Drosophila melanogaster: one gene and its partners. The protein of the gene in region 4 interacts with the protein of the main gene of each other region in a pairwise test. Each region holds a gene or a part of one and is shown on either strand. Other genes may lie near its edges.

Region 1 (9,140 bases), 270 kb from region 4:
TCTGAACGAAGTGTAAATGCAAAGTTGGCGCAGAATCCATGGATGGCCTATTTGGAAACTCCAAAAGGATTCCATTGCTCTGGCACTCTAATTAATCACTGTATGTTTGCATATGATATACTTGTCGTGCAGATCTAATGCAACTCTGTTTCAGTGTTCGTCTTAACGGCAGCTCACTGTGTTCCGGACGACTTGCTAATGTAATTAATCATTAAAAACATATTTATATATTACGATTATACTCAGTGTGAATCTAATTAAACTATTTTCTTAAAGAACCGTTCGCCTGGGAGAGTACAACACGAAGACTAAGGTGGACTGTGACAACCACCTGTGCCAGGAACCCTTCCAGGAGTACAATGTGGATATGGGCTTCAGGCATAGGTATTATAATGCGAATGACCAAACCAACGACATCGGCATGCTGCGACTCGGAAGGAGGGTGGAGTACTTAAGTGTGTCTAGTTAGGATATGAGTACGACATTTTTATAATATCGATGCATTTCACATATGCAGATCACATACGTCCGATTTGCATTTTCGCAAGCAACCGTTTCCAGGAGCCGATAGACCAGCTCACCTGGTTTACGACCACCGTTTGGCGTGAAACTGCCGCTAACGCAACGAGCAAAGTTCTTCGGACCATGAACATCGACCGCCAACCCAAAGAGACGTGCTCCGAAATCTATGGCTGGAATATGACGTTCGAACAGATCTGCGCCGGCAACACCTTGAGTCAACTCTGCAGCACCGACTCCGGGGCTCCGCAGATCCGCAAAATGTGGCACAATGGCTCAGACCGCTATGTGCAACTGGGCATCGCCAGCAGGGTGAAGGGCCAGTGCCAGAACTCTGGCATTCTCATGGATCTATTGAGCTACGCTGACTGGATAAAACGGGTGGTACGGCAATACGGACCCTCGACGGATATGAACCGTTCATTAAAGAAATGGGTCGATAAAATTCCAGTATTTTACTACCCGAAATAATATAATATCAATAGTAAGCTTTCATTGCTAGTCCTTGTTTAATATAATAAATTAAAAAGTTTAATGTTGAACAATAAAGACTATGTCGCATTTAACATTTCTATGTTTCTAAGCAAAGAAACTCAACAAATCTTGTTTTCCTTTTAAAAAAATTACAATATTATTGGCTTAATCTCAATTGACTGATTATGATTTTCTTGTTATACATATAACAAATCCATCTGAGTTTCAAGACTTTTTATTTTAGCCAAGTTTCGCATATATTTGTTACATTTCATGTAGAAAAGATTCGATCTTACATTGTTGGTTGAAAACCATGCTAAGCGTTGGTGATGTAAAATTAGGAGGATATGTATGTAGATTGAAAAATTGTTTAAATGCATTGTGTAATGTTTAAATAATTAAACATTTTTTAGTTTTGATAATACATTTTCTAGTAATTTTTTATTTATTTATTAAAACAATTTTAAAATACTGAAATACCGCAAAACTTAGTCGTATGTACCAATGTTCTTCATATCACTTGTAGCTCTTTTGCACGGAAATTTAATTTGCTCAAAACACTTGTTCCAATAAGCAAAACGTGATTGCTTATATTAGCTAAGGTCAGCTTCTAGAGTATGCCACGGATAAAGAAAGAAATTCGTGCTAAAGTCGTTTGAAATTGGCCCATTAAAAATGTTTTCTATAAACAAGTTCGGATCGCATGAAATTGCAACCTGTTTTGCAAAGAGTGCGAATAGCTCTTGCTAATCGATATTTCAGAGCCCTCCCGATCCCATGTTATCTGCAAGTTGAGCAAAATGGTTGTGTTCATATACATTGCATTTTATATTATATTTTCACACTAAAACTAATTTCTAAGTATTAACATTATAGCACATAAGTTAGATTAGTTACGATGGGATGAGCTATAGATAATTACACATGTTTCTTAACATTAACATTATTAACATATAACATAACATTATTTGTGCAGTTAGTTGATATGGCGATATGTCGTCGAGCCGGCAATATACACAACCGGTTTTTGTGCCGCACTTTCGAGAGATTCGATTGCATCGGACTAGGTTGAATCGATCTTAGTAGACCACGATGGAGCTACTGCATGGCGTGTCTTGGATGGATGTAGTGGGATCCGGAGTTGTTGTCCTCCCGGTAAATGGCGGTCATCAGGAGCAGCAGGGTGCCGGCGATCAGGGCTCTAAAGACTTTGTCAACAAATCGAATGTGCTCCATGTTCTGATGCTCGTCGACTGGTCGAAGCTTTGGAATTAGCAATCTTAGCGCGTCTGGCTTTGAAACGTTACTGAACGCTCGTCTTGATAGCGACCGGAATTTATTGCAGCTCCAAGCGAGGTGTTTTCCCCCTACTGAAGGTTGGATGGTGGAATTGCTGCGGCAAGGGTAGTTTCCCAGCCGCCGACTTGGAAATGCCCCAAACCCAATCGCGTTACGAGCACTTTACAATGCCACAAATTGTTGTATTTCAGAACTCTGAAACAACAAAGCGAAACCCCCCTCTCGGAACGAGATCGTTGACTGACTCTCTGCGTATCGCTATAATGAATTCAACTAACAAATTTTGGCATCGTCAACGTGCCAAGATTGCAAATCAAAAGCAATCTGTTTTGAAGACGAGGCGACGACGCATTTTCTTGGATCATTGCTCTTTAAAACTGACAGAGACTGGACTCGAGGAATCTGGAAGAATCGATATAGGGAGGGACATTTTTTTATATGTATATCTAATATCATTGTATCCAAACTTACCTAACATATTGCTGGAACTTGGGACTATGGCAAAATTGAATACAACTGCGCCACATGTTTTGCGAGATCTTTCGATATAAGGAAAGAGTATTTGCGGCGAGACTACTAGAGATCCGAATGGGATTCAAGGTCCAGTTAAGGGGAAAATCCCGCTCGATGTTCTGCAAGTGTGGCATCTCTCGATGAGTTCTCGTTTCGGACTGAGGATCAAGGACTATTTGATCTCAGGTAGGGGCGCAAGCAGCTGCATTTTCTTTGCGCCTCCAGATGCCCAGGGGTAGGTCATGTCCTTAAGAGCAGGATGGAGTGAGGATCAAATTCTTGTTACCTACAATTCGCAATATGGTTTACTCTTTAGATGTGTATCTAACCGAAAACCTCTTTATGCTAGTAATATGACTGATGAGCAAATCTTCTCTTAATTCAGTAAAAATTCAGCTTTAAGATACAATTATGTTAGCCGAAAACAAAGATATTAACAGAAATGGTATCAACGCATTCATTCTTCACCCTTTTTTATATTTAAAATAAATATTTAATGTTCTCTATCCTGCACTGCAGCATTATTTGTTTCTCTGTAAATTTAATCACTGCAATATGCAATCAAGCTACCTGTAATCAGATAATCCACAGAGATTCCTCTGAAGTTTGACTGTCTTCTGCATTCAGTTCATATCAGAGCTTGGTGGCGCAATGACGGTTTTGCAATTGCTGCTCCTGGTCATATGCCTTAAACTTGGTCAACAATCCGGACAAGCAGTTCCCTTTGGAAACCAAACAGAGAAGCCCTGTAAGTGCCAGCAGATGAGGGGTGACCTGTAGTAATGTTTCCCTCCCCAAGATCAAACATACTGCACCACCTACGATCAGAAGCCAGGCAAATGCTTACACTACAGAGAATGTTAGTGCATCGCGAAAATAGTTTCGAAGCCAAAGGACCAGCTGACCGCCAAGGACTTGGAAATAAAGAGGAATGCCCCTTGTTTTTCAAATTCTAAAGTGAGTGGTCATTTAACAAAGCGACATATGCTGATATTCCAATCTTTCAAAGAAATTCATTTGCTGTGAGGAATTCGTGCTGATTGCCAGTGAGAGTTCGTGCGGAGAATTCGGGGATCAGAAGATAACTGGAGGGAGCGAGATTCAAATGGGATCTCGACTTTGGATGGCCTTGCTGCAATTGAATCTTTCAAAACCGAATGAGAGGTTATCCTTTGCGTGCGGTGGCACGTTGATTAGCCCACTTATGTATTAAGTTAGTCCGAAACCAGGGAGTCTCGGTTAATATTTTAATATTAATATTAAATATTATTATTATTATATTATTATAAAGCAAACAAGATTATTAAATAGGTGACATTGATAAGATAATTCATGTACTTTAACATAAGCGAATAGGAAAAACAACTTAAGACCAATCTTACTTCGGACAGCCCCTAATGTTGAACGTTTTAGAGTTTATCAGGTATATTGCAACTAATTGCAAGCTCGTAGTTTTCATATGTCTTACGTTAGATACTTTCAAGCTAAATGGTTTGGTTATCTACGCTGAGGGCATCCACTAACTGGGAAATTCGTTGAGCTCGCGTCAATTTCCACGATACGCAGGACAAAGCCGTGATGAAGAAGCCAATCGCTATAAACCCAAAGTTCATCATAGGAACAATCAATTCAATAGCACTGTTACTCACCCATTAGGAGAATGGCCTCGGAAGTCTCATCCTGCCAGGCTTTTGAGACAACGCACAGTAAAATGAATCCGCTGAGCAGGCAAAAGGATCCAACTACGACGGCCAGTGTTATGAGTATGATCACCGGATCGTTTAGAGGACCATAATCAAAGAGTGTACGGCAGAGGGACGTTTTCCGGGGCATAGGAGTACCACTGTTGAATAAAAACTAACTAGTAGATTTGCTAATCCAAAACTGTGCACTACGAACCAGGCTTGAGAATAGGTGGGTAGAATGGGAACAGCTCTGCACTCCATGGCGCTCCTAAGGAAACTGAAGTTGGAGCTCCACACTAATGTTTTTGGGTGGCTGGCGGGCCCTACTTCTCCACATTCTAAATTTAGCCCTCAGTCGCGGCTGACGATCGCAGACGCGTGTCTGAGATTGGAGTTAGGGCGTTACATTATCTATTTATAGCCATCTAGGAAATGGTTCGATCCGGCGGAACTAGCGGAACAGATGTTTGAGTTCAGCCGGCTACTTCTGCAGTCACAATGCGTCTATTTTCGTATCTATTTTCTATGCAGAGTTCAATGCTCTGTGCGTTGAGCTGAAGAAGAAATCGAAGATCCCGAGAAGTCGTGTAATGTAATAAATCAACTTCATTACTGCCTCATAAACGTCGAAAAAGGAGGCGTGGCGGGGGCGAACAAGTGCGAATCATTAACTCGATGTCTCGAAGTTCACGTTTCGCATGTGCCAAGGTAGCGTTGACAACCGACACGCGCAGTTTCCCCCCGCATTTTCCGCCCATCACCGGCGTAGTTATAGAAATATACTTGGCTGCTGCATTCAAGCGAGCTGTAAATTATGCAAAATAACGACGTCAAAGTTTCAATATAATGAAGCCAACGGACTGGCGGGAGTTTCGGGGCCCGCAGGTTGGGGAATATTATAGTCTGAAATTTCATCCCTAATGTTTCTATGCCATTAAGCCAAATAGAAAACGAAAAGCAACTTATGTGCCATAATGTTATACCTTTAGATTCCATGGATGCATGAGGGTGAATTTAAAGTTTCATTTCATGCACGTACTTAAGTTTTAAATGGTTTCGAAAGTATGTGAAACGACTAGTTGTGAGTTACCATTAAATATATTACTTTACAATTGTTTAATTGAATTTCGGGTGCATGTAAAAACTCTAAGGTTTCTTTACAACAGTTGAATGCTAGAGGTTATAACATTTTTCCCCTTGGTTGTGGCCTGAGACCAACACTCAATCACTGCCCCAAGTCCTGAAGACATAAAAATCAAATCGAAGCCGTCGCCATAAACAATTATGAACTTTGTTGCACATTGTTGTCCACACATGGCCACACGGATCCTGCTCCTTGTCGTCGCCTTGGTTACATTGTAAAACGTTTTATTGTCGCCACCATCTGGCGACGATTTGTTGGCAGCAGCGCACCGCCGCCAGACGCCCAGCCACCCACTGAAACCACCGAACCCACCAGAGGTGCCAATATATCCTTTTTCTTGCTTATTTCAAACCCATTCAGCTAATGGAAAAATACCATTCCCGGTTGGAAAGGCATAAAATATGACCTGATATGTATCTAATTAGAAAAATTACTCCAAAATAATATTTAAAAGTTTTTTGATAATAATATTTTAAAATTATTTTGATAAATAACCGTACTTCTTTTTTTAATTTAACTTTTTTTGCTTATTTGCTCATCACTGAACCCACCCTAAAAATCCGATTTCAAGGTGTAAGCCGGCGGCACGACGACAACTGTTATGCTTATCGGATGCTTTCTGAATAAGAATAAGAATTCGGATGCGGATGTGGATGTGGATGGGACTCGAGTGCGGATCCCAGGCGCTGAGGCAAATTGCTGCTGATTGTCAGGTTCAGGCGACGCTGCGTAAATAACTGAAAGTGGTCCGAGGTGCCAACTGCCTTTGAGCCGGACCCAAAAGTTTGGCGAAGCACATTAGACGGCGATGGCCAAACTTCGGACCGATTAAGTTGGGAGTCGCAATGAAAAGGGCAGTTGGCAGTTGGCAGTCGGATGATGGTGATGCTGAAAATCTTATCGCCGCACAAGAACCCGTTTCTTTTTAGTGCCGCAATCAGCGCTGTTCACTTGCAATGGCCGTGGCAGGACAAATATTTTACTTTTACTCTTTCGCGTCCGTTTCGAGATTCATTTTTTCTTATACCGTCTCCGTTTCTGACTTTAACTTTCCGCCCCACTCCCCCCAAAGTTGAGCTCTCTAATGCGCTGCAAAAGTGTGCCAAAGACGCTGACAGCGAAATCAAACACAAGTCGGTTGGAGTACATATATATAAACGGACAAGCAGCGGAGAAGGTCCTGCAGAAGGTCCGAGGAAAGGATGCACAAAGTTAAAATTAAATTAGCGTTTTTTCGAGCTACGCAGGGTAGCAGGGCGATGAGAGGTTGGGTCATTCTGGGCCACGAAATGAAGTCCAAGGGCACGCGATTCTCTGGGGAATGCAGGGTATCTATGGGTCGAATCCGAATGATTCCCACTAACAAGGTATTCGCATCCTAGTGCCACTGTCTGTCACTGCCTGCTACTTAGCCAAATTAAAATTTCAGAGCACCAATGCGCTGCACGATGTTGGGCTACATAAATAAGAAGCTAATTTGAAATAACTATACTAATATCTACATTTTTAAAAGTTATAAACTAAATTGGTACCAAACAAATGAGCTTAATTAAATATGTGGTATTCCTTCAGATATTTTATAAGTTACAAAACTAGTTGTGTTATAATGAGATTCTGTCAAGGGATCATCGTAACTTGTATTTTCTTAATTTATTTAATTTAAATTTGAAATATTGGTAGAGCATTAATCCTTCGACTCGCGAACTAAGCAGTTTCGCTTCCGTTTCGCTGTTAGTGTCCTTTTAGCGCTTCGCATTTATGCTTGTTTAAGCAAACGCCGTGTTATCGTCCGGATCCGGATTCGTGTCCGTGTCCGTGTCCGAGTCCAGTCGAAAGGATAATGCGCGTAATTGTTGTCCGTGCCCGGCAGTTGGCGCTGAAGGAGCGCCTCTATTTGCATGGAACGCATTAAAAGTCGCTGGCGCAGCGCCGTGGCAATTCAATTTAAACGAGTGGCATAAGCGCAATCTGGCAAACTAGGGATTACCACTAATGCCGCACGTATGCATGTATATATCTGGTATCCGGAGTTTAGTGCATATATGCCAATGCTCCGGGAATGACTTTATCGGTACTCAATGGCTCAATTGTTGGACCAGCCTCTGTGACTTTCGCTCTCAGCCCTCTCGACACATATTCGCATATCCGCACATCCGCATATCCACATTCGCATCTGCCAGAAGAGCCAACGGCAAGGGCACTTCGAGTGCAGTCAGTTCAGGTCGAGTGTTCATTAAGCGAGATCAATGGGTTGGCATATGGTCACCGTGGCTTGAAGTGCTTGAAGAGAGTTAAAGGACGTATGCAACATGGGTGCAATTATGTGTCCACGATTTGATTTAATTTATGCTCAAAACCTTTGACTATACTTTAAGTACACTCACATACCTATGATTATATCCAAACTTTTCCGTTTTAGCATTAACTTTGAGTTTAGAAAGATGCATTCAGACATCAATGGATTGCTTGGGCTTTAATACTTTAAATACGAAACTCGTATACTCCACATCACATGACTACGGATTAAGCTTCCATTAAGAGTGTCCTTTGTTTGCTAGAAGTTAAAGCCCAGACACAAGAAGATTTGGCTACGCTTCAATTCACTTCACCCGAGTTTGGCTGCGAAATTGGCATATAAGTGGTTGAGCGACTAACAGGGAATATCAAAAATATTGCCATAAAATATGCCAAGACAAGCGCCACAGCTCTATCCGCATCCGCATACACATCCACATCCGCATCCGCATGCTGAACCACAAGCAGTGCAGATACGAGTTCCAGCGTCTTGACAGCCAGCGATTGACATGAAAAGGAGTGGGGGGAGGGGCACTAAACTGGGGTTCCGTTGGAGACAAGGTAATGAAAAATATTTCCATATTGCAAATAAAGTCAGCTTGCCAACGTGGCAACCCTAAAACCTATTTCTTAACCCTTGTCGACAGGGCGCAGGACGAAGGACGAAGTACGAGGAGTGGCCCTCCTTTACCTGCAGCTGCTGCTGTTGCCGTTCGTTGGCTTTTGTTTTGGCAGCCTGGCATATTTCAATTTGGGACTCAGGACGACGGGGCCCAAAGTTTATGCAAATTCATTTCAAGTTTCCTGACGCAACAGCATTATCAAGCGCAGGACTGGCGACCTCCGACCTCCGACCTGCAACCTCCGGCCACGACGATGATGATGCCGATGATGGAGATGTTGCACTTGTGCACACGTACATATATATGTATGTACATACATACTTACTTACTTACTTGTTGACCTGCTGCCTGGCTCTGTGCCAGGACGCAGTTGTTGTCCGCAAGTGTCGGCATTTATATTATTACAATTATTACGTCGATGTGCACGGCTTCCCTTTGTAGCGGTTGCTTCACGTGTGTTTGCCTGTTTGCGGTCGGCAGTCAGTTGCTGCACTCGAGTCCAGCACGGCGTATACGCAATTAGCCATATTGGTCAATATTGTGCCAAGTTACGCGCAATTTCGCGGTCCTGGCCATCATTAGCTTTGT
Region 2 (6,785 bases), on a different chromosome or scaffold from region 4:
ATATATTCAATTTTGGTTCCGCTGATCCGTGCTTATAGACACGCTTCGATGACTTAGCCAACTGCAGTCTAGGTTCTGTTGAGCCATTTTATATCCTCTAAATGATATGGTTTCAGGAAACGTACTCAAGGGACCAAATTTAAAAACCGTTCCCAGTATCCCTGATCCATTAAGCAGCTGCTGAACAATAATTATCTTGTAATATAAGTACTAGTTATGTTCTCAATCAAATGTTTCGCCTTGAAATGCTTTATTTTATATACATTTGCATATTAAGTACAGTATATTTCACTATTTAAGAAAGAAAACGAAAATCCCCACGCGCTGCAAATAGATTAAGTTTCGTAACAGAAATTTATATTAATTGGGCTTATGTATTTCATAGATAAACTAATTTATCTAGACAGACAGCGATATAATCTGCGATTTTCAGTATTAGTCATACCTATCGATTTTTAAGTATGCCAATCTCCATTTACTTTTTAATTGTTATGACTCAGAATAGCGTGGGTGGATTTTTAAAAAGCCACCTGCCAGCTAACCAAACCGATGCTCCAGATAAGGAATAGCACCCCCGGATGATGGGTGACTGCTGCAGAGCCCGGAGTGACTTCATATTCAGTCATGTTGTGAACATTACAATTGTCCTCGTAGCACGTGGGACACAGCTTCTCATTCTCGGCGCAATAGCGAGATAGCTCCATATCTAACTCGGATACACAGCCCCGATGCAGGAAGTACTTCTTCCCCGGAACGACATTGGGATCGTTGAGCAGTATGGTGCGACATCCATTCCTTTTGCCAGGTATCGGGCCGCAGTTTGACTTTGTTTCATTGGTGATCGTTTTGTTGCAGAACATGCAGGAATAGCAGCTTAGGGGTTTCTGTTCTGGATCTGCAACTGGGGGCTTGTGTGGTGCCAAGGTTGTTTCTTCTGGGGGTGGAGTTGTGGTGTCCTCCTGGGGCCCATCAGCCGGGTAATCGGGCGATCCTCCCATTGGTTCCTCAGTTTTGTTTGTTGGGTGAGTTTCCAGGACCTCCTCTAGTGAAGTTGATGGGCGAGTATCGGGAGTCACTGAAGAGTCTGAAGACGAGTCCGAAGTATCCATATGTCCGGACGATTGGTCTACTTTGTCGGTTTGAGGAACTTGAGTTGGCGCAAAGCCACCGGAATTCCCGGTGGATTCCTTTTCTGGCTCTTCTTTGTCCCCTTCTAATTTGTTATCCGTTTCCGAATTAGTGTCTAAGCTTGTGATTTCCGGTTCCTTCTCATCCTCTCCAGACTGGTGGCCTACCTGTCCAACTTGACTTTCAATAGATGACAGTTCCTGTGTAGGCTCAGGGTCATCAGTTGGACTTTGTGTTGTGTTCAAAAATAAGTGACTTTGTCCTAGGGATTCTGTGTCATTTTCACCGGCTTCAATGCCTGAGTTTTCTGACTTTTCACCCGCTAGTCCGCCGCTTAAGCTGAACTCTTCAATGTTGTCCTCCTGCGCCCTGCTCCATTCAAGGAGAGCAGTTAGGGAAATCCAAATGACCAGCAATCTCATCCGCATCGTGGTCACCGATCGGTTGTAGCTTCGCAGAGTGTATGACTCGGATGGCGAATGAATCTTGAACGGAACCCGCCGAGTGGATGGGCTTATCAGAATGTATCTTTCGTTATCGGTTTATCCCCGTTTTGAAGAGCTCTGCAAGCATGGGTATTTGCTCCGTTCTGGCCACCGATGGGTTTGTTATTCCCGACTTGTCCCGTGCCTGTTTAGCTGGCAACTGAGGTCGATGGTCATTAAGCCGCCTGGACATGTGGTATGTGTACTCGAATCCGCTGATTGTCACGCAATTATCCGGTCTCTAAATTAAATCGATATGTTGGGGCGGTCGCCGGACCCTTGACCCACACTTTTGAGTAGCTCCAGACTTTCCCGCAACAAATGCGAGCCCTTAAATTATTGATGATGTGAACGTTTCGATGGAACCTATGGGACACTCCGATAATGGGGTCAAGGCACAGAGCACATTATGGTCATGACATTTTTGGCCATTATGCATATGCCGGAATAAAGTTGGGTAACCTTACAACTGTGGTTGGGAAATTATCTATATCGAAAGGATTTCGTTAGGACATCAAGCAACTCTCTATTTTAAGCCTTAAAATAATTGAAGAATTTCTACCAACGTAAGTTTTTTATGGTGGCAATTTAAGAACACATTTAGCGAGTGTAACTTTTTATTTAAATGATAATGTTTGGTTATTTTAAAGTTAAATGGCTTTTTCCAGCTTATCCTTATCAACAGTTCGCCTATATCAACTCATTGTTATATTGTCTGATAAGTCATAAACAGATTAGGGATTCCAATTTTGCAAACAAAGGTGCACTACATTCTTTATGAGCTGTCAAAATGCGTGGACTGCAGACAAATCGCCACTCAAGCTTCCACCACCTGCTCCTCCTTTTCCTGGTCCTCCTGAGATGTGAGCTACCTGCGATTTCCCACGGAAAAATGCGTTGTAACCTTAGAGGGGTTTTTTTTTTTAATAGCAGACCGTTGTTTTGGCATTGTTTGCTACCACTGCGATTCCATTGCCCTGCCGGAATGTTCCCAGACCCTCGGAGAAGTGGGAGTTCTTCCCTACAAGGAGTGCGCTACCGAGCTGACGTGTGCCATGTCCATTGGTAAGTGAACCTAAATGTGATTTGTAATTGTTTCTAAATCGACGGATAGTCGGCCATTTTATAGAATCTATTTTTGCAATTCATTAATATTTCAAAGGTAAAGACCATTGATATTGATTGATACATATTTGAAATATTTAGTAACTCCGATTTTCTATACCATTAATCGCACACAAATTAGTGGACTCCATTACATACCGCGGCTGCGGAGCAGAAACCCCCATCATCGGAGCGACTTACTCAAAGACTTGCTCAACGAACCTGTGCAATGCGGGTGTCTATCCGCCGGGACGACTTAAGTGCCATCATTGCGCTGGACAGGAATGCGTGGCAGCTCCAGCATCCAAACCAAAACCCTGTCGCTATCATTTGGAAGAGGATCAGTGCTACACGGATGTCATAAGTTCTTCAGATGCCTACAGAGGTTGTACCTCCGAGCAGAATCACACGCTGTCCACTTCCGCCCAACTGTGTGAGATCAATGGCTGCAATGAGGAGCAAGGAGCTTGGACCCAAGTCTGCGCCACCTGCGATTCAGCAATCGGCCGGGGTTGCAAGATAGATCTCTTTCAGGTCAACACCGGCAGGTGCAATGTTAGCTTATACGAGGAATGCCAGCAGGATGTTCTGTTGGGTGAGCAAGAGGATAAGTACTGCTTCAGCTTTCGCAGACTAAGCCGCGTTGTCAGAGGATGTTCTACTAAAATTCCAACAGATTTGGAGCCGTATGTAGAGCAATTAGAAAAGTGTAATACCAGTGACCACTGCAACGCAGGATGCATTACGCAGCAGAAGTGTTTTACATGCAACTCCGTGGATCAGGAACTTTGCCGGACAAATATTACGGCTATAGCTAATAGCACTTGTAGCTCCGCTGAGGCCTCTTCCTGTTTCTCCTGTGAGTACTCCAACTGGAGTATTCAGCGAGGCTGTGGAGCACCGCCGGAAAATCCTCAAATCACCAAGTGCTATGAATGCGATGAAGGCGCTGGGTGTAATAGTAAGGATTTCACCCGGTGCTACCAATGCAGCACGGATCAAGCGGGAGCAGGCTGTGCAAATTGGGAAAGTCCTGGCGAAATCTACATTGAAGAATGCGATGAACCGGCTGCACCATGTGTGGTTGTTTCCTTTAACAACGCCACCACTGCGAGAGGTTGCCAAAAATCGGACTTCAGCTGTGCTTCCGCAAATGTGGCCAGTTGTCGACTATGCGAAGGAAGTTTCTGCAACAAAGGATCATTTCCGGAGGAGCGCCTCTGGTGTCATCAGTGTAGGGGAGTGCAGGACTGCGAGGAGATCTCCAGGGGACAAACGGCTATGCCTTGTCCGGCTCGAGCAAATGAGCCGGAGGATCAAGAATTGGCCTGCTTGGAGTACTTTGACATCAACAGTAAAGAAATTGTAAGAGGATGTCGTTCCAATCCCGAGCTATACTACGAATGTCTCTTAAGGAGTAACCACTTCGACAGTTGTCGCACTTGTCACAGTCAGGCATGCAATAATAGTCCTGGCCGGGAATTAAGAGCCAGCTATGAGCTGGAGGCCAAGGCATTGTCCTTGTTGCAAGGCAAGAGTTCCGCAATATCCATCAAATTTTCGAATGCAGGTTACGGAGTTTGGTTGATCTTTAGCGTTATCTATATTGTAACTTGCTGAGACTATAAATAAAAGGATAGCAGAACTTAAAAGAAAGGTCTCTTATTCCGGGGGCGTATATCCAGGATTTAAGGCACGACCACGGTGATTGAAGGAATAGAACGAGGGGAAGTTGCCCAAGGTGTCCCAAGTTTTCTGTTGCATGTCCACGGTGGCGCGAATTTCCTTGAAGTTGCCAACGATCTCGATGATGTTGTAAATCACAATCACCAAACTGATGACGGTCTGCAGGATAATCTAAGGATTGATAAAGGAAAACTTTTCGTGAGTAACCATGCAAGCACCCTAAATGCACCGAAACCTACGTCCAATGGAAGGCTATTCCATTCCTGCTCCGTCAGCCTCAAATAGGTGCGATCTGTGGAGTAAATGCGGCACTTAGTGGTCCAAAGTTTATTTACCACAACAGTGACGAAAACTTACGATGGGCAGCAGAAAAAGCAGCATGTGCCAGGCTGGCAAATCCGGCAATTAGCAAGAGTTTGTTAAACAGTTTACTGCCCATTTTTATTGAACAATTACGAATTACAATCACAGTCGGTACAATTTTCTACAAAATTTTGCTAAATTGCTATCAAAATGCGGGCACACCTAGGGCTGGGAGCTTTGGACGATAGTTTAGGGTTGTCTGTATACCTCATATGCCGTAATATATTTAAGAATCTTAAATTTAAATATTTTATTGGGAACAACATTAAAATTATACAAAGATTGATTTTGTGATCAAACTAATTATATAATTATATTATAACTATATAAACATACAATAAATATTCGGTTACATATTTTGCTTAAGAAAGTTAAAAACTTTCGTAAAATTTGAAACCGTCTGTTCATCAGCTAGCTTTAAATAATGATTATATACATTATTAGTAACAGAATGAATTAAAAAAATTGTAAGGTATATATATTGCCTCGAAATTCAGCTGACTTTGGTATTTGTCAGCACACGGTCACTCGAAAAATGCCGCCGCGCCCGCTGGTATATTTGAACGCTCGTGTCACGGTCGCACTTTCATTCGTCTCTCAGCGTTCAGAAGATTCGGTAGTCGCGGCGGTCGAAGCGGAACACCAGTTGTCCAATAAGAAAGCCAATTTGCAGCAAAAAAAAAAAAAAAGACCGGCAATTCAAACGCACCTTGCAACTGTTTTTTCAAAGCCAAAAAAGGACTCAGGGCCACTCCCCACGACAAAAGCTTACGTGCAACGAGTCCGTGTGTGTTTTCCTGGCGCATCGCCGCATTTGTGTGTGTATCCGGACATCTCTTTTACGGTCCTTTTTGCGTGGGTGTGCCAAAAGGAAGAGAGAGTGAGAAGGCAGCAGAAAAGGGCAGAAAGGGAAATTCCAGCACACTAAAAAGCGAGTCAACAAGGAGCGACACAATGTCCGTTTCCTCGAACGCCTCATCCGCCTCCAACAAGGACAGCGTGGACAGCCCCAGCAGCACCACCAACACGGACAGCTCCGAGCTGACGCACATCCTCAATCGGCGCCAGGAGATCATGGAGTCCCAGGAGGCGGGCATCGAGGTGCGTCGCACCTACAAAGTGGTCAACGTCTACACCGACTTCCCCGAGTTCTCCCGTAACCAGATCAAGGACTACCAGAAGACCTTCAATACGTAAGTGAAGGCCGCCGAGCAATATTTACTTTTGTCCAGAGCCACTTTAAGGCGCAATATAAATTATATTAATATGGCGAAAAGGAAGCCAACATTTTGTTTATTGTTTTTGAAAACACCTGAGCAAAATCCGTTGCAATAATAATAGTTTATGATAAGTAACGATCATCTCTAGATTATTAAATAAATACAGTGTACTAGACACACTTGTATACATTACAAACGTTTGTAAATGTATATCTATTACACAAGATAATTCAAAAACAGAAATCAGTTTGCAAAACTATTTTAGGGCTTTCAATTTGCGCCAACCTTTACACTCCTTTCACCTGCAACGGCCACTTTCCCAGGCATCTCACCGCATTTGCGTCTCATTAAATGGCAACATAAAACTCATGCGCCTAATGATCATTTAAATTGCATTTACTGCAGCCCCTCCTGCAGCCAACCCACCCCTCCCCTGCCCCCCTGGGCAATGGGGCATGACTCACAAGTACTTGCGGAGAAGTTTTGTCACAGTCACTGGCTTATTCCCAAGTCGTGCTCCCGTCGCGCGGATCATGAGTCAAAAGTGGTTTTCTGCCCCAACACTTTCAGGCGGATTCAATTATCACACCACAGTCGAGCTCCCCTAAGTGCAATTTCTGTTAGCAAAAGCCAATCTTAAATATCGGTAATTCCGTTCAAAGTCATCATTCGATTATAGTGGCAAGGAAAAAGCTTATCCCACGTTAATACTCGTAATTCATTGAAACATTCTTTATTTATCTCTAAGGTTCTAATGCTCGACCTTAAGACTTAATAGCACCCATAGCGGTTATCGAGG
Region 3 (7,739 bases), on a different chromosome or scaffold from region 4:
CGGCTGGAAGCCGGCGGCCAAGGAGTCGGCGGGCAGCGCCAAGAGCCTGTGAGCTCGCATTTGCATTTGGAAACAGAAGTATCTCCTAGAAGGGAGATTCTCGGGAGATTATCGTGGAGAGTGAACCAAAGAATCGAGCGCCGCAAGAACTGTCTGACTAATGTCTAGTTTAATTCGCCTTATCGATCCTTAATTTAACGAACTAAATGTGTGTGTTAGGTTTAAGTAAGCCCTAATTAAATATAGTAAATTCTGCTACCCGAAATTCGCATGAAGATGAGTTTTTTATGGTTTCGTGGCCGCTCCCCAAACATGAATTTATGATGACAATTAAGTTTCATTGAAACGGGCTTACGTGCGTGCCAAAAATGGCTGACGAAGCTGCTTCGCTTTCTACCAAACTCAATGTCAGATGTACGATATAAGGTTGCAACAGCAGTTGATTTTCGATTGGATTTTATATGTAAGTATACCTAAAAAGAAATTAACTAAGTAAATATTAATAAATAAATGTACTTTTAAAGACTTATAACAATTTTCTTTAGACACTATTCTTCGCTTCTCTATTATTGGACAAATATGTTTTGTTTGCTAACATTGGTGAAAGATGATTAACATATTTGAATACGTAGTTTTCCACTTGGATTCCTTCAAATAATTTCCCTGTAAATTCCACAATGCAAAGTTGACTTAAACTGCACATGCAGTTTTCTGTTTTCTGTTGGCCTGCATTTGCTGAATGCAATATTCATAGATAGAAAATTGCGCGCCACTTTCCTGGCTTCTTGGCTCATATGTTTTCCCTCCCTGTCCATTGTTGTGGCTACCTTTTTTGGTATGCGACAATTTCACTTTTGGGCCACTACACGAAATATTAATGAGCTGCTGCCGCTCAGTGTAGAACATTGAACCTGGCCAACGACGTTCCCAAGCCCCTCGCTCACTTATTCAGTTTGTTAGTTGTGGGCGCCCTTTGCTGGCGCACCACTGACGTCATGGGGGGACTTTCATTAATTGAAAATTACCCAAGCGCACCAGAGGCAGAGGCATGTAAACAGCGCCGGGCTGCAAACTAGAGCCGGAGCTGAGCTGGGCTGAACGGAGCTGCCTTAACCCGGAATTCCATTCCAGCCAAGCGGAATGAAAGTGAAACTTTGAAAAGGTGTCAATTTTGGAGATGCCACTGAAAAGGTTTGGGGCGGCTAAGCGGGTGGGGCCGCAATTGAGGATTGTTTGCTTTGAATGTGCGATGCTTTAAGGCGGTTTTATCTCTAGAGCGAATATTTCGCATGCTTATTTGGGTCAGCCAGCGAAATGGCCAACTATGAACGAAGGAGCCATCAGAAGATAGCTTGCGAATTAATTGAGCGCACTCTATTGAAATGACTGGGCTAAACTGAAATATTAATACAACTAGTTGTATTAATATGAAATAAACTGCAATTACTAATACGTTTTAAGAGTATTTAAGAGCTTTTCTCCTCAATAAAACCATAACTTAAATTTTAATGTTGTTTCTATATTGCATCACTCAATGTTTAAAGTGGCGCAGTTGAAGTTGTATAAGATGTTAGCAATTAAATTACTTTTTCACTTTCGTTGCGCACGCACAATGCTAATAACTTGCATCATATTGACTCTTTAACACTCTAACTGGGACACAAAAGACGTACTTCACTGGGTTAAATATTTTGATAATTTTTATGTATATTATAAATATTAAGTGTGAAAGACAGAATAAACAATTTTTTCCATATTTCTCCAATTAGCTTGTGTGTAATAATGTAAGAAATAAACTATTAAATGGTTGTTTTCAGTCCGAAGCTTATGAAATATAAAAAAAATATATATTAAAGGTTTTCTATCAAAGATTTTTCATGTAAAGATAAATATTTAGAAGCATATTTATGCATATTATATCACGTTATTATTATCATTATAGATAAATCTAAAGGATGGACTGAATTTGAAAAGGGCCATTGCAGAAAGGGCATTAGATGAGACACATCACACATCGTGACAGTGGCTGGCATATCCAAATCCAAATCTACATCCACATCCATCCATATGTTCACGTGCACGGCATTTACATATTCCATCAACGGATTTTGGGCTCATGTTGCCGCTTTGGATAATCGTCTGCGAAATGTCGAGTGGCTTTGCATCTAGATGCGAGCTGTGTGTTTTGTGTCTGTGAGGTTGTTTTCGGCAGCATGCAAATTTGCGGCGTAGCTTTCTTTCGGGGCACTTGCTCGTCTAATGCGTGAATTACCGGCTAACGATGAGCGATGGACGCTGGACGATGGACGATGGACGATGGACGGCGGAGCGATGGGGCGGCAGGCAGACGTGTGGCAATTTTTGAGTGCTGCAAATTAAAGCGACATAATGCCAATGAAACTCTAGTGCGACAGTCGCTGTGCATCCGTCGACGGCGATCGGATTGGCATACAAAAGTGCAGATACATTATGCGAGATGCCCGCTGGGGGCACAAACAAACACATAAATAAAAAGCAAAATTAAAGTGAAATTTCCTCCACCGTGCCGCGGCAGCGCCAGCAAACTAGTTAATTTTCTATTTTACTCCAATTCGAGTTGCGGTTGCTTTCGACCATCGCCGGCCATCTTAAATGGCGCTCTTGATTAACCACCCACCGCCCACTCCCGCCGGACTACCACTCGTGTGTGTGTGTGTGCGGTCTGTGTGTAGGCAACTGCAATTTGAAATGAAACCGCTGCTGCCGGCACTTTCTGCTGCACTCGAGATTTACACAGTGCTGAAAGTGTGCCATCATCAGGTGGCGCCTCAAAGGTGCATCAAATACGTTAGCCACGTATTACAGCTTGTTACATTTTACCTGGGTCTGCTGTGTAATCAAATAGTCCAGAACTAAATAACAACTCACAGTCCTTCAACCAAATAAATATGCAAAAGATTTGTAAAAAGTGGAAATACAGGCAAGCGTCTAGTTGGGAAACAAGCGGCTTTCAAGAGCGTATTCTCCCTTTTGCAGTGAGTTAGAAACCTCACATGATTTCAAAGGTGTTGCAAACGTATTGTGTGCAAAAACACAACATAAAAGTAAATATGTAATGGAAAATTCTGTTTATTTTGAGCCTTTTAGCTAAGCTGATCCCAGTTGGAAGGGTTAATTAAATTGAATTTAAGCTGCCAGTTATAATAGCATATGCCGTATTCTAACTCTGCAGTGACCTGCAAAGAAAAATCGCTCCTTTTAAAATGTATTTTGAAAAGCTGGCTGACTTAATCCAGGTAAGGTACAGTTGCACCCTTGTTTACGAAAAGTATTGTTCTAAGCATTACCACATAGGATTAAGATTCTTATAATTCCAAATTTTATTCTTATAAATTTAATTCACAAAGCTTTCCCTTAAAGCGACACGTAATGCAAGAAAAATCAATATTTAAGGGCTGGCCGATCTGTCTATTGGCCCCCTGAACAATTGGCCTTCTCCTTGTGGCAGGCAAACAGCTAACTGCCGCCGAAGTGTGTTGACAAACAACAACTGCCAATCCGACGAACTCTGCCAGCGTAAACGGCGACCGCGCCACCGCGTCCACTTCGGCGCACCTGTCCAGTTGTCGCTGCAGCGCCTTGTATGGCCGGCCACCAAGACTGTGCGACTCCGAGTGCGACTTCGGCTGCAACCTGGCCAGGTTCGTGGTCGGGTTGTTTATTTAAATTCTAAGCTCGGCTACTGTGTGCGATGGGCCAAGCGGGGCAGTCGGGGGGCTCAGACCACTTGCGGAGCGCTAAAGCGTCAACGTTGTCGTTGTCGTCGCTGCTGGCCAACGCTGCCGCCGCTCTGCTGGCCGGGAATAAAACTCGATCCGCGTGCGTCTTCTAGCCACAGTTTACCGGTTGCCTTCTGACCGACAGATCGAACACGCCAATCGAGCGCAGTGCACTCAATCAAGTGAACACACACACACGCATCCCCGAATCGCCAGGAAGTGGCAGGATATCAAATCAGCGCAGCAGTGTCGAGTGTTTGTGCGAAGCATTCAAAAAAAAAATAATACAAAAAAGGAAATACCCATCACGAGCCATGTTCAAGTTCGTGTGCCTTTTTGCGCTGATTGCCTCCACGGCGGCGGCTACCTCGGAAGCGGACAGCTTGCTGACCAGCGCTTTGAAGATGGTCAAGGACTGTGGCGAACGGTCCATGGTCTTGTGCATGAAGGTAAAGCATTTAGTTGCCAGTAGCCCGAGAGAAACCTATCCTAATTCATGATCCACCCAAAGGAGCGAGCCCTGCACTACTTCGATGCCGAGAACGGGGATGTGCGGCTCACCGAGGGCATTGCCCTGGTCAAGACCGATGAGATCCCGGTGGGTCGATCCCTCAACGAGATGCAACTGCCCGAGGAGGTTGAGGCCCGGGAGGCCGAGGTGGACTCCCTGCTGGTGGAGCGCGTTGCCCGCTTCTTCGGCACCCACACGCTGCAGTTCAAGGTGCCCAAAGACTCCATCCAGGACATGCAGCGCGCCCTCGAGGAATGTGAGTATCTGGCTAGTACCCATCGAATCCCACATAAATTACAGTTCTGGTCTGGCCAAGACATTGCCTATTTGGGTTACTAATGCAAGCGACCAGTTCGGGCAGATGGCTCTGGCACAAATCCTGTTTTCACTGTTAAGTCTCCGCCATATCGAGGTCATCCTGTGATGCAGCCAGATGCCCACATAGGCACATGGCCACATGGCCACATAGCGGTGCATTGGCAGCTGGTTATCCAGATAGTTGGCTATTAATTGCACTTTAGTCAGGCAGTTAGCAAGGCTTACTTTCTTTTTGTGCGCAGCGGCTGCAATTTCCGATTTCCAATTTCTATGCGCAGCCACATAGAAAGCGGTCGATCCTGTTCGCTTGCTAATTATCTGTGCTCCAGTTGCTAATGAGCGGACAGCTCCGCTCCAGCGAAAGTAATGCAAATCATATAACTAACTACCAAATCGTTTCTCCCCCTGCAGCTCGCGGCAAGAAGAAGGAGAAGAAGAAGTACCTGATGCCCCTGCTAATGCTCTTCAAGCTGAAGATGGCCGCCCTGCTGCCCCTGGCCATTGGCTTCCTGGCCCTGATCTCCTTCAAGGCCCTGGTCATCGGCAAGATCGCCCTGCTGCTCTCCGGCATCATTGGGCTGAAGAAACTGCTCGAGTCGAAGAAGGAGAACTACGAGGTCGTTGCGCACCCGCACTACGAGCACGAGCACAGCTACGGCCGCTCGCTGCCATCTGATGACTCCCAGGCCCAGCAGCTGGCCTATGCGGCGTATAAGCAATAAGCTGCATGCCAAATATTCTGAATGCTGAATGCTGAGGCAACCGTAATCAGTGCAATACTCGGAGGGCCGTCTAATTTATCTATTTATTTAATTTATTTGTATAGCATAGTTCATGCCAGGCTTACACACTTAAGGCGCCATCAAGAGAAATAGAAGGAAAGGTAAATCCCGAACCCACACAAATAGGTCTAAGGAATCAGCAGCTAGGGACTGCCGCCAGAGGGGAACACCTGGCGTCGTTTAATCTATTCTTAAAAATGACTGCCACTGTCGTATTAATACTCAGAGCTTTATTATTTAAAACTCTACGCTTAACTTAACTTAACTCAACTGAACTCTTAACCAAACTATTAAACTAAACTGCCTAACTCTGAACTGCCGCTAGGCGCAGAAAAAGCCCCCCTGGCCAAGCCCTCCCCCACACAAAACAATAAAAGAAATGCCGCATTTATTCCGAACATGTGTATTGCTGTCTTACTGTTTCAATCGAATATCGCTCATACGCAGCGAATTGCTTTCACTCTTTCACCGGCTAAGGCGAACTAGGCCAGCAATATCAATTGCATGGGCGACACACAAAATCACGGAGCAAGATCGCCGGATTTCACTTGAGCCAGCTAGTCAGCCAGTCAGCCAGGCGTAAAGCGCAGCAGAAGCCTCTTCCTCGGTCTCGGTCAGTTATATATAAACACATATGTATATCCAATGTCGCTCCAGAAACTGGCTCACATCTCGGCATCTCGGGAAAATCTAATGAATGTTGCGACCTGCTTTTTTGTTTTTTTTTTTTTTTTTTCGCACACGCAGTGCAACACGTACGCCCCAAACAAATTAGGTGTGTGGATGAGAGCATGGATTCCAGTTCCAGCTGGGAGCACGCCCCGCGGCTGCAATTTATGGCCGTGGCCTGGCATCGCCATTCGGCATATAAATGGCCAAAGCCGACAAAACCCAAGGCTCAAAATGGCCAAAAGGCCAGGCCGCCGCCTCGTACGTCTTTTATTTTTTGTTGCTAACTATTTGTAAACAACTGCAGGCAACTGGCAGTGAATTTCAAGTATTGGCGGTGAAAGTGTTTATTAATACAATTTCTTTTCTGTCGCTGCGCTTTGCAATAGGAAATTTATTAGCTGTCGGCCATTGCCCGCGACCTGGCAATAAAAGAAAACAAACTTTTGTAAAATTACCAAAGTTTTCGGCGACAACCGCACAGGCTAAACCGTAATTCCAATGCCAAAAATCCTTAAAATTGGCCTCGAATGATCGAATAACTTGGGAGGAGTCTAAACTTCTCGAAACTTTATCTTCTCGCCTGTCTACTCAGTTTTGTCAGGGGAATTGGGGTGTTCTTGAGTTCGCCAAAGGTCTTGGGGTGCTAAGTTATCAGAGACTTTCATAGGGGGATATTCAAATTTCTCCCACAGCATTGACTAGGAAAATACTCACCTGTTTTTGCTGGTATTGCAGTCAAGTCTCTCTTGACGTGCTGGCATCACCAAACCAAAGTCTTAACTCTTACTGGCTTCGCCTAAAAGTTTGCTAGGACTTAACTCTCGAACTCAGGGGATTATTCCACTGATTTGTATGCCGTTTAGCTTCATTGTGAAACTGGTTATTATGGTAAAGGAAACGTACATCTTTGTTCTACAAGTAATAATGTAACGTTCTGAAACTTTTTCGATGTTTAAAAAATACATGTAAATAATATTAAAACGAGAATAGTTATGGAACTAAAAAATGTATCATTATAAACCTTTTTGGGTTCGGGTTTTCCTTAACACCCAAACCAAGTTGATTTCCCAAACGTAAATCGGTTTCCCTCCTTTCCGCTTGTTTGTTTTCTTAATTGACTTGTGGCAATTTTCAAGTTTTTCTCTGTAAACGATTGAACATTACTGGTAATTCCCTAAGCGACTCCGTTCATTTAATGGACCGGCATTAGCAATGGTAATTGTAAATATTCCGCGTGGTCCGAGCGGTGGCGCCTCCAAGTATTTCATAATTCCTGTGGAAATACAATAACTGCTTGCATAATGGGGGAGATGTGCGAAAAATTGGCCACCAGTCGCTGCAGCTTTGGGTCGTGTGCACTGACCATGACCATGCCGGCTTAAATAAGAAGCGGCCCAAGACGAAGAGCCCCTGGTTGGCGTTGATGTACAACAATTTCCGTTATTGGGCCATGTGCAAAAAACAGCGCGTTAACTGAATGAGAGCAGATTTAGCCAAAAGACCAGTCGGTTATTGTATAACAAGATTTGGCGGATATAAAACAGAAGGGTCAGTTGGCCAGCGGGCTCAGTTGAGATCAAAACACTCGACCATTATGTCGCCACTGGATATCGTTTTGCTCCTGGTCAGTTTCCATCAAGTGATTGGCAGTGACTTTTCCGCCATGAGTTTGGAGTTCAAGCAGTGTGTTCGTGGATC
Region 4 (7,196 bases):
AACGCAGACCCGTGGAATCGAGGGTCAGCTGTACAACAAGGTCAATGAGCTTCAAGAAGATTTGTCCATGAAGAAGTTCGACCTGCGAGCCAAGCAGATCCATTTGGCGGCCATAAGGGCTCAGGTGAGTTTCGATTTAGTCGGGGTGAAAAGCTATAAAGTTTAGCGGGAAAATATACCACGATAAAGCTGGAAAAGCAGCAAAAGAAACCACTTCGAAGTTAAGTTTATGCCATGGAAAAGCTTTCACTTAGCTTTCCACAGACCTGTTGCTGACAGCTTTTTGGGTGAACTTTTCATGGCCGAGATCTAATGAGTTCCATTAGGCGGGGTCGGGACGCCCGACACGCCCCCCGTTTGCACGCTTGAAAGTACAGATGAACTGGCGCTCGTATGTAGGTCAAACAGCTGATTGGCGACTGCGCATGTGACCCAAGCGTTTCGCCATCTCCCTCGCTTTTTGGAGCACTGAAAGCCGCCAGCAGGAGCCAACTGTGGGTCAGGTTCGTCCTTCGCCTTTCGCTTAGTCCTGCGGTAGATTAGCTTGTGCGTGGTCAGTGCGGCTGTTTGGCTTGATTTTGTCCTGCATTTGCTAGGTCCCTGTTTTTTTTTTGCGGTCCTCACAAGAGAGTTACTCAGTCAAAATTACACCGTGTGCTGTGCGATTTTCTGTGTTTTCTGGTGTGACAAACTATTACTGCGTGGGAGTTTGGGAAAAACCATCAGGCTTTTGACTGTAACCTCAACCTCTGGGCCTGCAAGTGAATCAGCTGTTGCCGAACAGGGCTCGGAAAAGTCACTTCAGAGAGAGCAAGAGAGAGACAGAGAGTGAGAGAGAGAGAGAGAGAGAGAGCGCGCGCGGAAAATTGCATGCGAAGCGTTGCCAGACATTCGAGCCATCTCCCGATGTAGCTGTTTATAAAAGCAGCGTGCAACGGTCGCTCCGAGTCAGTCACGTGCTTGCACTTCGACGTATACGTAACGCGGCTCGCCAGCTCCGCTCTTGGGTGATCCGTTCGACAAATTAGCCGTAGCCGTAGTGCCGTAGCCGTAGCCGTAGCCGTACTTCCGCAGCCGTATCCGTATCCGTAAACGCGCCGTCGTCGTCGTTTTTCGTCGCGACTGAGGTGCGATTGGCTGCCAATCGCGCAATTGGAGGGGCTAGCTAAGAAACCAATGCAAACGAAACACAAACCTTAAATCCAAATAAAATTGAAATATATTAATATATATATATCCCGAAAACAGACACCATTCATATATATATATATATCCTCCTAATATATATGCATAATTTTAGAGCGCAGTTCAGGGCAGGCTTTTCTAGGCGAGTTGTTCTCTATTTTGATAGCCACACACAAGATAAATTGAATTGAGTGCAGCGCGTAAGTAACCAAACGATGATCAAAATAGTAATGCAACCAACTAGTCGACAGTCCATGTAAAATAACTTAGCTTTATTAACCAATCACGCATACGCACCGTGCGCCCAACGAATTCGAATCAAAAAACAAATAGAAAAGAATATAAATAAACAAAAAACGAATTAATGTAGCACTGCCAGAATTACTTCAAATCTTTTGCCTGCCTTCTACAACAAATTTCTAGCCAAGTAGTCGAAATTCGTGGCCAAGCGCTTAATTTCACCAATCAGAAGCTAGTGCAAACTAATGCCAATAAAACACAACTCAATCAATCTAGCTAGCTCGTATGTACTGTAAATAACCAATACTCTTTGCTAATCTAGATGTAGTTTAACCTATTCTTACTCAGTAATTGCAACATCAACTATGTAAAAATCTATCTAGAGCTAGAGGCTCGGCTCGCTTTGCATTTTGTAATTTCGTGACCTTTGTGCCTGCACCGCACCACCCGAATGTGGGTGCAGTCGCAATAGCACCCGTACACGTACTTGTAACCACAAAATACTACCAACTACCAACCACCCACAACACACTTCGCATCCGTATCCGCATCTGAATTCGCATCCGAATCCAAATCCGAAAGCTATATCTTAATCCGACTTCGATGTCGCGAGGAGTGGAAATCCGTTTGTGAACGGCCATCACTTGAAAAATTGAAAGAGAGACTAGCGACCACGGCGACACCTCGAATTTGTTGTTTGTTAAAAACACTTTGCGTAAATAAATACCAGTAGCCGAGAGACACACGCACACACGTACACCCCCTCTCTCACAAAATATATACATAAATAAATATATATATATCTGCCACATCATGCGCGTTATCGTTCTCAAAAAGAATCGGCCCAACAAACGCGGCACGCCCACGGCAGCAGCGGCCACCTCCTCGCGAGAACCGCCCAAAAAATCGCCATACGCAAAAGTAAGAATTTGAATTTAAACTCGATACTCTCAATATTTGGTTTCAATTTTCGACGATGAAATACTCGTTATCGCGATAACGAGCGTTTCAGCCTTTTGTTTCCTGTCCAATTTGCCAGTGCAATCAATTTTTGAGATTCCTACACCCCGATATTTTATATTTTCAGTGTGCACATTTGCTGGATTTTCCCATGCAAATGTGCAAGTTTTCGCGCCGCTCGTGTATGTTTCATGATTTTGAATGCAAATGCAATTACTTAGCCACAATAAACGCATGTTTAAGTAGCAATCTGTGCATACATATGTAGCTCAAAAATTGGTTGTAGTGGCCAGGCATGTTATAACTTAACTACCAATGAAATATTTGTTTAAATTACCATATGCTTTACCATATAACTAAGCTAAAAACGCTTTTAAGTCAGCATTATATAGCATTGTTTTAGATATGAAAATGACAAAGTATTGCAGTATATTGTGTATTTTTTTCCAAATTATTATGAGTACATGCTTTTTCAATTTGGGAATGCAACAACACAAGTAAAAATTAAATAATTGTAAGTAGGAGCTTGCAAATTTAAATGTATAGTTTAATTATCTTGAATTTAATTAAACTTCCTCCATTCGTGTGAACAGCACTTCCGATTCCTGCACGTTACGACGAAGTTTTTGCTGCAATTTCAAAACCAAGGAGGCAACCACTGCGCAGAAATAGATTTCAAGAACTGAAATTTGTATTAAAACGAAAGTTAAGGGTTAAGAAGGGGTATACACATACTACTACTACTTCTTTACTCACAAATAGAAATGGTAGAAAAGAGAAAAGTCAGCAGCTCGTCATCTTGCATGATATCATTACAAGTGCTAATTAACAAGGTTATAACCGTAATACAAATCCAAAGGACGAGACAGGATATGTGACTCTGGAAAGAGTATAGTATTATGTATTATTTGAACTCGTATGAAAGCTACTTACCCATTCTGCACCTACAATAAGTAGCACTGATCTGAAGATAGTCAACGAGATTAGTGCTTTTTGGAAGAAGAGGTTAGTTTCAAACATAGGCGTTCTCATGTTGGGTCCCAGCATATCTCCGTCCGGTTCCCTAGTGACAAGCATCGAATCCGGTGACTCCGTAGTTGTGATTGTGGTCTTGACCTCCATCTCCGACAAGTAAATGCTGCACATTTGTAGCACATTTACCAATGCTTCGAATCCGGCGATCAAATTGCAGCCCGTTTTCAAGCTGAAGAAATAAAAGCAGCTATTCAGTGGCTTTATTCCATTGATATTTTCATTAAGTCGGGTCCAGTCATTGGGGGAATTCAGAAAATTTCGAATATACGCCATCCTCAACCGATTTCAATAGATTACTGAAATAAATGCCGCTAAACAATTCGTTGCCAGCCTACTAATGAACTTTTCATCGATAGCCTGTGATTGAGTTTTGGGTTTACTTCCGATTCGGTCAATCGGAGTTAAGTGCACAAGAAAATCCAATTTGATTTATACGCTGCGGCAGGGAGAGCCCCAAAGTGAAGGAAAATCTAAAACAATTCAATTTTCCAAGTGTTTCAGCCAGAAAGAGAAAAACAAAATAAAGGCAAAAGCGGACAACAAAAAATCGCTTCCATCCTGTTCCGCCAAACCCTCCGGTACTTGTTCAACTTGTTCCGCCCGATTCGATGGCACAATCAGTTGCCCATAAGCGAAATTCCTTTACTGATTTCCTTTTAAAAGCATTTTTCGAATTGTCTTGACTGCGAAGCAACCACTTGAGTCAGTCCGTTCGACTTTCGTTCCTTATTCCCTCATTTCAGTTTCATTTCGGCCCTGTTTCAAAAATGCCCGAAGCCAAGTCGTATTTCCCATTTATTTATTATTGTATGGCGTGCTGCTACTGCAATGACATTTTGCTGCGAATATCCCTTATCGGTTGCCATCCGAGCCAATATGCTTGAATTATTCCATTTGGCTCGAGAGTGGAAACTCATTCAATTAATTAATCGTATTGTGACTGGGAATTATTTTTACTGATTTAAAATGCACAAACGGGCCACCTGCAAAGCAGATTAATTTCGCAGAACTCGAGAAGAGGCTTTCGGTCCCTAGGATTTATGGTTAAGCATGTTGCCGCGCGTCGACTGAAGGTCAAAAGCTGTGCTCCTTTTGTAAAGGGTTAATTTTAAATTTATGGCCCTGCCCACACTAACTTATTCGAGTCGAATCCTTGCCCAGGGACCTACGACAAATCCGTAGGCCAATCGTGACGGAAGCACACAAATTTGCACGTTAACCGCAACCAAAGCTACAATGGTGGTGTGCGTGGGAGTGTCTCTTTCTGCGTGCGTGTGTGTGTGTGTGTGTGTGTGTGACGAGTGCTTGTGTGGGTGTAGGCTGGTGTGTGGGTGACACGGTGATATTTCTCTGGGTCCTGACACGTTATCTGGGCGACGACCGTGTTGGTTCCTACTTTATTTTATTGCTTTAATAAATATGAAATGCTCTTACTTTTTTTTCCGGACATTCGGCATAGTTTTGCTTTTTTCGCGCCACTCACCATTCCCCATTCACCACTCGCCCCTCGAGTGCCACCAATTAAGTTGCCCAAATTGTGTTCTTCTTTATGACAATCCTCTTAATCTTAATCACGCGACTTGATGTCCACAAGGAATTGATGCCCGCGCGTTGAATAGGAATATTTATACGCATGCGGTTCTATAGGTCCATGGGTCTATGGCTCTATGGGTCTATGGGTCTTTGTATTTGGAAGCATAATTTGCTCGGGCATAAATTTTAATTAATCATAAAAACGCTGGCATAAAAATGCCAACAGGTCCTGGCAGCGTTTTCTTTCTTTTGCTCAGTTCTCGCGTCTCAATCCCCTGCAGCCTTCGCCTAGCACATTCCATCCAGGAATTCATATTCATGTTTAATAATAAATCACAAGATGCCGCCGCTGTTCGCCAGGAGCTGGGGATGCCCGGGGGCAACTGCGGTTGCATCCTTGGAATCCGCACAGAAAAACACTGGGAAGGCATCAGACGAAGGCGAAGTCAAATGCCAAAGGAAGCCCCAGCAAAATGGCGGCGGCATAAAAGGATTTGCGGCTAAAGGCAAATTTAATTAAAGACATCAGCACCGCCTCACACACAATGGCGCTGAATCAGGAGCAAATCCCTTAGCCTCAGCCGTTTTAATTGCCCACTACCTGTTCCTGTTCAGTCTGTTCAGCAGTCAAGCGGCCAAAAAGGACGAACCGAACAATGAACAATGGGTATTCATTTGCGAATTTCGGTATCAATTAACCGACCGCCCATTCATCATCAGAATCGTATCTAACGGATGTATGCTTCAACTAATTTAGTGAATGAACACGAGGAGAAAATGTTTTGCAGTTCTGCAGTTTTACACTGAAGGTTCTCGCTGTTGGCTGATAAATAATTAAGTGGCAGGGTCACAGCCACCAATGCAAATAAAAAACGGTGAAGCAAAGTGAGTCGACTTTGAGGTACCCTGTAAAATGTCATGTGTTAAATATCTTAAGTCAAGCGAAGTATGCTCCACGGCATTAGATACATATCTTAGCTAAAACTTTTACATTTTCTCTTACAAAATTAGAAAAAAAAAATATAAGAATTTTTTTAAAAAGTCAACTAATGTCCCAAATGCTGATTCTAAAAAAGTTGTAAATGTACACTGCTGCTTTTACTGGAGGCCAAGTGGGAGTGCCTTCGGGGTCGTTTGGCTGAAACTGATGGACACTTGGACAGACAGATTTTTGGCCGCTTGGCGCTCTGGAGATTTCACATTTCGTTGACGCACGAATGGCACGAAAAACAGTTTCAGTTTTCAGTTTCAGTTTCGATTCCTGGCACTCGCCATGGGTATCTGGTATATGGCATATCTGCATGTGAGTGTGTTTGCATTCATTAAAATTTCATTTGAAAATCAGCAGAAATGCTGCTCTAGCCTCTTCTAGTCATTTGTTTTGCCAGCCACGAGAACTTGCCATTGTATTCCCCTCGGATAGCTGCTCCTTGGTAGGGAAGTATTCGCCTGTCAGCAGGAGCCAAGTTGATGGAAATCTGTGAAATTGGTAGAAAAAGTGCAAGGACAGGCAAATCGTAAGTTGATATGCTTGTGTCTTGAATATTTTATTGCTGGAGAGATAAATCTGATCCGCAACTGAATACATGTGCCGAGTTTAGCACTAAGCACAAACTAAGTTTCACTCGCATTACATGTAAATTAAATATTCGTAAGCACGTGAAATAGAGACATAATAAGAAGATATGTCTTCGTCTCTAAAACATTAGGAATCTAAGGTGTTTTTATATATTTAATGTGATTAGAATTTTGAAAAGCAGTCTTAACGAAATCTTTTCCTTTTTTAAAGCTTCAATTTTTACTCGCGAGTATGGAAGTTGAACTAGATAACAGTTTGTGTTGCCATTATTAATTTTACTAGGAAATGGCCTTGCTTTCGCTCGCTGTCGTTGCAAATCGAATAACATTTTTATTCTTCCCTTGGCGATTTCGGTGGAATTTACGATTGCGTCAAAAGTATGCCATGCTAGCCAAGCCAATAAAGTTCACTCTTTATGGACGGAAAGGATTCGTTTGAAAAGCAAAAACGACCTAATGGTTTTAAAATTCGCTCACCCACTAATGCGAACCCTTCAAATCCTTCAGCTTTTGCTGGTCCTGCGAAGCTAACGGCTGTTTATCTGACATTCATAGTTTATGCTTCGTGTTCTGTTCACCTTACTCAACAAGATAAACGCAGTCGAAATTCCCTGGGTGAAATGGGATAAAGGAAGATGAGCAAAAATATGGCTAGGAAACAGGGA

The links.
Region 1: the proteins of CG34188 (region 4) and CG30080 interact in a two-hybrid assay, tested with the Drosophila melanogaster proteins (one large-scale study listed by BioGRID).
Region 2: the proteins of CG34188 (region 4) and EMC5 interact in a two-hybrid assay, tested with the Drosophila melanogaster proteins (one large-scale study listed by BioGRID).
Region 3: the proteins of CG34188 (region 4) and Osi9 interact in a two-hybrid assay, tested with the Drosophila melanogaster proteins (one large-scale study listed by BioGRID).

What each region holds. Positions count from the first base shown.
Region 1 is NT_033778.4:15,696,925-15,706,064, forward strand, and holds CG30080 (uncharacterized protein), read right to left. Parts: upstream 4,773-9,140; 5' UTR 4,752-4,772; coding exon 4,705-4,751; intron 4,649-4,704; coding exon 4,455-4,648; intron 4,400-4,454; coding exon 4,290-4,399; 3' UTR 2,940-4,289; coding exon of another isoform or gene 2,764-2,939; intron 2,695-2,763; coding exon of another isoform or gene 2,664-2,694; 3' UTR 2,230-2,663; coding exon of another isoform or gene 2,092-2,229; 3' UTR 1,802-2,091; downstream 1-1,801. Other genes in the region: CG33462 (uncharacterized protein), read left to right, coding at 1-100, 155-200, 277-455, 518-990; CG42662 (uncharacterized protein), read right to left, coding at 2,092-2,229; CG46433 (uncharacterized protein), read right to left, coding at 2,664-2,694, 2,764-2,939.
Region 2 is NT_033779.5:18,985,846-18,992,630, reverse strand, and holds EMC5 (ER membrane protein complex subunit 5), read right to left. Parts: upstream 4,925-6,785; 5' UTR 4,843-4,924; coding exon 4,761-4,842; intron 4,696-4,760; coding exon 4,643-4,695; intron 4,575-4,642; coding exon 4,380-4,574; 3' UTR 4,338-4,379; downstream 1-4,337. Other genes in the region: CG15169 (uncharacterized protein), read right to left, coding at 519-1,556; CG15170 (uncharacterized protein), read left to right, coding at 2,404-2,476, 2,544-2,678, 2,860-4,337; Swip-1 (Swiprosin-1), read left to right, coding at 5,721-5,959.
Region 3 is NT_033777.3:6,256,341-6,264,079, forward strand, and holds Osi9 (osiris 9), read left to right. Parts: upstream 1-3,870; 5' UTR 3,871-4,072; coding exon 4,073-4,207; intron 4,208-4,269; coding exon 4,270-4,525; intron 4,526-4,998; coding exon 4,999-5,309; 3' UTR 5,310-5,765; downstream 5,766-7,739. Other genes in the region: Osi8 (osiris 8), read left to right, coding at 1-52; Osi10a (osiris 10a), read left to right, coding at 7,636-7,739.
Region 4 is NT_033778.4:15,424,282-15,431,477, forward strand, and holds CG34188 (uncharacterized protein), read right to left. Parts: upstream 3,743-7,196; 5' UTR 3,694-3,742; coding exon 3,319-3,693; intron 3,266-3,318; coding exon 3,142-3,265; intron 3,068-3,141; coding exon 2,952-3,067; 3' UTR 2,810-2,951; downstream 1-2,809. Other genes in the region: Stacl (Stac-like), read left to right, coding at 1-124.